2 linked regions of the Ovis aries genome follow. The protein of the gene in region 1 purifies or fractionates together with the protein of each later gene. This does not show direct contact. Links are inferred from orthologs where the notes say so. Each region holds a gene or a part of one and is shown in the gene's direction. Other genes may lie near its edges.

Evidence for each region. Proteins that work in one complex are often made in the same cells at the same time.
Region 2: the proteins of RNPS1 (region 1) and SRSF11 purify together in Homo sapiens (co-immunoprecipitation; 4 studies listed by BioGRID and IntAct, with this or other methods). This does not show direct contact. The link is inferred for Ovis aries from reciprocal best matches to the Homo sapiens genes RNPS1 and SRSF11.

Annotation. Positions count from the first base shown.
Region 1 is NC_056077.1:2,304,600-2,308,899, reverse strand, and holds the start of RNPS1 (RNA-binding protein with serine-rich domain 1), read left to right. Parts: upstream 1-1,462; 5' UTR 1,463-1,520; coding exon of another isoform or gene 1,521-1,522; exon of another isoform or gene 1,523-1,915; intron 1,916-4,300. UniProt on the Homo sapiens protein: Part of pre- and post-splicing multiprotein mRNP complexes. Auxiliary component of the splicing-dependent multiprotein exon junction complex (EJC) deposited at splice junction on mRNAs.
Region 2 is NC_056054.1:46,060,664-46,063,193, forward strand, and holds part of SRSF11 (serine/arginine-rich splicing factor 11), read left to right. Parts: intron 1-1,216; coding exon 1,217-1,333; intron 1,334-1,634; coding exon 1,635-1,773; intron 1,774-1,878; coding exon 1,879-2,076; 3' UTR 2,077-2,530. UniProt on the Homo sapiens protein: May function in pre-mRNA splicing.

The DNA of each region.
Region 1 (4,300 bases):
CATCCGGAGCCACCAAGCCCCATGTTGGTCTGTCTTGTCTTTTCCCCTGATATTTGATCCATCTCCAAGCTACACTGGTTCCTTCCCCCACGAGGGCCTTGAATCTGTTCCTTTCTCTTCCTTGTGGGACCTACCTGTTCACATGCCCATCAAGAGTGGGAGCGCACCTTCTCTCCCCCCATTGCTGCTGCTGCTAAGTCGCTTCAGTCATGTGCGATTCTGTGCAGCCCCATAGACGGCAGCCCACCAGGCTCCCCCGTCCCTGGGATTCTCCAGGCAAGAACACTGGAGTGGGTTGCCATTTCCTTCTCCAATGCATGAAAGAGAAAAGTGAAAGTGAAGTCGCTCAGTCGTGTCTGACTCTTAGCGACCCCATGGACTGCGGCCCACCAGGCTCCTCCGTCCATGGGATTTTCCAGGCAAGAGTACTGGAGTGGGGTGCCATTGCCTTCTCCGCTCCCCCTACTAACAGTCACGAAACGTTGACTGCCTGCCAGGCGCTGCTCGGAGAGGGGAGGGACACAGCGGTAAACACATCCGCAAGCCCTGGCCCCCTCAGCGCCGGGTTTTACTCCGACAGCCTCCTGCCTGGTCCTGGGCCTCTAACTCTCAGCTTCCTGCCTTTGCCAGAAGGCTCTGACAGTGCAGGATGAAGCCTTGGCGCCGTATGTTGCACAGGTTCTCTGTTCCTCCAAACGCTAGACTCCACCTTCCTAGCCCCGGTTTCTTCCAAGGAGCCTTCGCACCATTTGTTCCTTCTGCCGGACATGCCCTTCTACTGCAGGCCTCAGCGGCAGGGTCAGCGCCTCGGAGGCGCGTTCCCTTCTGCACACTGTCTTCCACCCTGCCTTCTGCAGCCCGCTCGTTCTGGCTGCACTACCCGCTGCCTTGTCCTCCTGGTACAATTCCGCCGGCACAGAATCTGCGCCTGCAGCATCACCCCTCACGCCATGAGCGGTAACTGCACGAACCCATCCCCGCAACTGCCCTGCTCGCGAAGCCACCACCGCCCTACGGGTGCCCACGGCAAGCCGCCAGAGCGTGCAGCACCTGTGCACCCTTTCTCCAACCCCGCCGCCGGGCCGCCCGGGACCCTCCACGTAGCAGCCGGGTCGGGAGCCCAGCGACCTGGGACGCCACCAGGCCCGCAGCCCGCCCGGTGCGCATGCGCACGGAGAGGGGCGGGCCCGCGGCCGCCTTAACCCTCTCCGCGCCAGCCAGCAAACTGCTCTCACGAAGTAGCCCTCGCAGCCCCAGAGAGCTGCCAGCTTGATGGCCCCACGAGGCGTGCAGCCCGCCCGGGGGAGCCCCGGTCGACCCTCCAGAGTAAGCGCCCCGACGCGTCTCTTCCTAAACAGGCCTTGGCCCTTTAACACTCTCGCTCGCGCCCATTGGCCGAGGGGCTCGACGTCATCGCTGCGCGCCGGACGACCGCTCCTTCCCGCTCCCTAATCCTGACGCCAGAGCCGCGCCGCCCTCTGAGGCTGAGAAGAGCGGGAGGAGGTCGCGGCGGCGGGAAGATGTAAGTACCGGGAATCCGACCCCATCCGAGCTTTGGGACCCGCCCGCCATGTTCGGCGGGGCGCATCGTGGAGCCGGCCTGCTCCTTGGCCACGTGGTGGTGACGGTGGGGCCTGTGGCGTCGCTCCGGGTTTGAGAAGAAAGAATGTGGCCCGGGGCGGGCTGAGTGGGAGGCGCCGAAGCTGCGGCCCGGAAGTGGTCGGGGCCGCGGCGGGCGGAAGGGCGCCCTCGTTTCCTCGGCTCTGCAGCGGGACCAGTGAGGCCCGCGGGATTCGGAGCGGCCGGGAACTCGGCCTCCGCCGTCCGGGCCCTCTCACCGGGCTGGAAACCCAGGCCCGCAACGCCGGGCCCTGCCCTGGAAGCGCCCGCGGCCCGGCTCCTGGACTGGGGAGTTGTGAGTGAACGCGGACGCGGGGTGCTGAGGTCGCGTGCGGGGCCGGGGCCGGGGCCGGTGGGTACGAGATGCGTTTTGGGAGCCCCTGGGTGACCGACTGACCCTCCCTTTGAAGCCATTAATTTCAAACATCGACTCCACGAACGTCTGCGGGGTTCCTGTGTGTCGTTCCCGGTGCTAGCCCTTGGGGATACGGCCCCTAATGTCTTGGAGCCCAGTTTGACGGTAACCCCAAAAGAGAGGATACGGAAAGGTTAAATCGACGGAGCAGAGGCGTGGCCTTTTCCAATCTCTCATGAATTGTGCCTGAAATGTACTTGTAAATGGAGAAGGTGCTCCGAAGATGTGAGCTGAAACGCCATGTACGCGAGATATGACTAATTGTTCTCTCCTATTTTTGGCTGTTGGACGCGCACCTTTCCAGAGGATGGGGGAGGTAACCACGGTCCTGTTACCTGCACTTGTGTAAACATAATCAACCTTTGCTTTCTAGCCCTCTGGCCACACCCAGAAAAGCCTTCCTTTACTCTGGTCTTAATTGAGTTTTAAGAATAAACGCTGGTGCTTGTTTTCACAAACTACAAAGAGCAGATCTTTAGGACTGGGGTGGGGCCCTGGAATATGTATTCTAGGTCAGCTGTGTAATAAGGTAGCCTCTGGCCACACGTGGCTACTGAGTACTTGAAATGTACCTAGTTCAAATTGATGTGTTTAACACGCTTAGCATGGGGAAGCATGGATATTTTATTAATGATTTTGTATGCTGATTGGTGAAAAGATGATGTGTGGGGTGTAGTGTGTCAGATAAATACATTACTCAAAGTTAACTTCATCTGTTAACTAATGCTTTTTTGGAACGTTGCTCCAAGAAAATTTTAGAGTACTCTTGTAGCTGGCTCTCTTTCTATTGGACAGTGCTACTCTTGGTGATCGTAATGGGGGCAGTCCAGGGACCCCTGCTGATCATTCAGAGGCTGTGTGACTTAAGAGCCAAGAGTTTGCCTCAGAAAAGCCTCCAAAGCCTTTCTCCTAATATTAGCTAACATCTGTTGAGCCTTAACTAGGTCCCCAAGACTCTTTTATCGGTTACTTTTGTTTATATTCTTGACAGCTATGAAGTGTAGGAACTGTCTGTCTCTCCTTAATGCTGATGAGAAATTGAGGCTCGGAATGATTAAGGGATTGATACAAAGACACAACAAAGCTTTGAATCAGACCCCAAGCAGGGGAACTTCAGACTCGTAAGCACTGAATTATACTCACTATTTGTCCAAGCAAGCCCGCTACAATGTTGCTTAGTGTTACAGGCACCTTACTGAGTGTCTGTGGTGCCTTTTTTCTTTTTTAATTTTGGCTTATTTTTGTGTGTATGCCCTCTCATTTTAAGACATAATGTCTAAAAAGACTTTATAGCCCTGGAAAAGAACAGTGCACTCTTATTTGTTTGTCCACAGCTGGGCACTCTTTCTTGAGTCAGAAATTTATCCAGCATTTTGGCAGCACTGCGCACATGGAAACAGGATTCCGATTGGTGAGCTGTGTCCAGGTTACTTACAGGAAGGTGAGATAGGAGTAGTTGAGGCTAACATCCCGAGATCTTTGCTTCTACAACTCAAGCAAATTGCGCAAAACCTCACTGGAAATACTTAAAGGCAACAGCCCCAGGAAACAGAGCACATAATGAATTAATAGTTTGTTCTTGAGTAGTGTTTACTGATGACCTTTTACTGAGTACATGCTGCAGCTCTGGAACTTAGCTAAACCCTTACATGTGAATGCATCCATTTCCAAAAATGGGAGCATACAGAAAAGCTGAAAAAATTTAGTGCACCAAATAGTCACAGAACCACCACCTAGATTCTACAGGTTACATTTCTGTTATGTTTTGTCTCACTTTACTACTTTTTAAATGTTCATGGGGGACGTTTCATTTGTTTGGTTATTAAATGTTTTGATACTGGTACCAGTCACTTGAAATGGTTTTTGCTTCCAGTCATAATATCTATCCAATGTATCCTGCAAAGATTCCAGCAGTGAAGCGAGGTCGAATCCTGTCACTTAGGGTTTGCTCTGCCTGCCAATGTGCTCCTGTAGTGTCTCTAAAGGACTGTAGAGGGCTTACCGCAAAACTGGTGAGAAACGGGCATTGTACTACCTGTCAAAGAACAGGACCCCACCACCCACACCATTGCTTAAGAAAAAGACAAGCTGAGCCGACAGTTCTTCACGTGTCTCCTGTGGGGGCAGGATCCCCTGAGGAAATGGACCCTGCCCAAGTGTTCCTGGCTTGGTAGATGCACACTGCTGACTGTGTTCCTTGTTGCCTGCTCCTATGCTCAGCTTTTGACTGCAAAGTAGATTTGTTGCCTTGCCAATTTACTCTGT
Region 2 (2,530 bases), on another chromosome or scaffold:
TCCTTTACACGCAGCTGGTTTTTCTAGCACCACTTATTGAAGAGGCTGTCTTTTCTCCATTGTATATTCTAGCCTCCTGACCATAAGTGTGTGCCTTTATTTCTGGACTCTTACTCTGTTTCATTGATTGATGTGTCTGTTTTTGTGCCTGTACCGTACTGTTTTGATTACTATAGCTTTGTAATATAGTCTGAAGCCAGGGAATGTGATTCCTCCAGCTCTTGGTTCTTTCTGTCAAGATTGTTTTGGCTATTCAAGGTTGTTTTTGTTTCTATACAAATTTTAAAATTGTTCTAATTCTGCAGGAAGTGCCATTGGTATTTTGATATGGATTGCATTGAATCTTTAGATTACCTTGGGTGGTGTAGTCATTTTAACAGTATTGGTACTTCCAGTCCAAGAACACAGCAAAGCTTTCCATCTGTTTGTATTGTAGAAGCAGGAGTTTTTAAAAAGTCAATTTAAAGAGAAGGAGGTATATCTTAAAAAGCTAATTGCTCAAAATAGGGATTGGATTAGGGGCATGATTTGCTGGACAACAGGAAGTCAGTTTGATCCCCGTTTCCTGATGGCTCAGTGGTAAAGAATCAGCCTGCAGTTCAGGAGAGGTGTGTTTGATCCCTGGGTCGGGAGATCCCCTGGAGAAGGAAATGGCAACCCACATCAGTATTCTTGCCTGGGAAATCCCATGGATAGAGGAGCCTGGTGGGTTTACAGTCCTTGGGGTTGCAAAAGAGTCAGACATAACTTGGCAACTAAACCACCACCACCATTAACTCTAGTTCTCGGTTCTCTGTTTTACCTGATGATTTAGAAGTAGTTTTGAATTTCATTAGCAACTGCCTTCCATAACACAACACATTAATCCTTTACATGTTCTGTCCTTTGAATCTAAAGCTGGTTCTTTGAATAATAATTTACTTCAGACTTGAATTAGCACCTTTGTTGATCAGTTTTTCCTTGAGCTTAACATTTCTGATGTTTTGATGACATCATGTCTTTAAGAATTGCTAGAAATTAGGGCTTTCCTAAGGGCATTAAAGGAAAGGCACATAGTTTACCCCCAAAAAGTTGCCGACTTTTATTACCCATTTGCTTCTTCAGCTCCAAACAATATTTGAAAATGGAGTTTTCTGTTTCTATTGGAGTTCCATTGTAGACATTTCTGGTATGATGTGCCTGCATTTTTTGAATAACACTGTATTTTAAAGTCTAGTTTGCACATTTGTTCTTCTAGAGAGAGACGACGACGAAGAAGCAGAAGTGGTACAAGATCTCCTAAAAAGCCTAGGTCTCCCAAAAGAAAATTGTCTCGTTCACCATCCCCTAGAAGGTAAGTATTAATCTTTTATTAGATCTATCCTGTTTTTCAGAAACTGTCCTAGGATTTTTCTTCCTTCTCAGGAATTAAAATACTTAAGAATGTGCTGATACATTCTCTTCATGACTTGAGATTGTTAAAATAAACACTGTTTATGATTAGGCATTTTAGACCTGTAATCTCCTTATAGCAGTGAACTTAACATCAAGCTTACCATCTAAAACAAATTTAAACTTATTGCTGTTTAAATAATGGCAAAAATTCTTGAGCACTTTGTTTCAAGCATCTTGTGAGCATTTTACTGTCATCCTAGACATAAAAAGGAGAAGAAGAAAGATAAAGACAAAGAAAGAAGCAGAGATGAAAGAGAGCGATCCACAAGCAAGAAGAAGAAAAGTAAAGATAAGGAAAAGGAACGGGAAAGAAAATCAGAGAGTGATAAAGATGTAAAAGTATGTTTACAAACTAATATATTCTGGTGTTTTAGTTGATGTTGGTACTTTAAAGAAGTAATTTTTCTGTGAAGACGTTTACTTTTCTTATTCTCCTTGGCAAAGCAGGTTACACGGGACTACGATGAAGAGGAACAGGGGTATGACAGCGAGAAGGAGAAAAAGGAGGAGAAGAAACCAGCAGAACCAGGTTCTCCTAAAACAAAAGAATGTTCTGTGGAAAAGGGAACTGGTGATTCACTAAGAGAATCTAAAGTGAATGGGGATGATCATCATGAAGAAGACATGGATATGAGTGACTGAACCATGCCTCTGTGGGAATCTAACTGTGTACATGCATCAGTGTCATTCCTGTGTGATTTCTTAATGCTGTATTTGTTCATCTCAAACCTAGATGTATACAGCTCTGAGTCATAAATGGTTATAAAGCTCCTGATGTTGATATTAGTTATTTACATCCAAAAGCTTTTAGGAAAATGATACAGGGGTAACCAATTCGTGACAGGGTGAAATCTGATTGAGTAACCAAGCAGTTTTACTATCCTGGTGCTGCTTCATAACAAAAATGAAAAGCTGCATGCATCTACAGCAGGCATGGATTGTTTATGTTGTATGATCTCCTTTATTAAGTAAGTTCACTTATAGTATTTCTAGAATTTGATTCATTGCCGTAATAGAGCCATGTAGGGAATGCACTGATTGCATGTTTATTGTGGCAGGAATATCCTAAATGTCATTAAAATCCTTCAACATGATG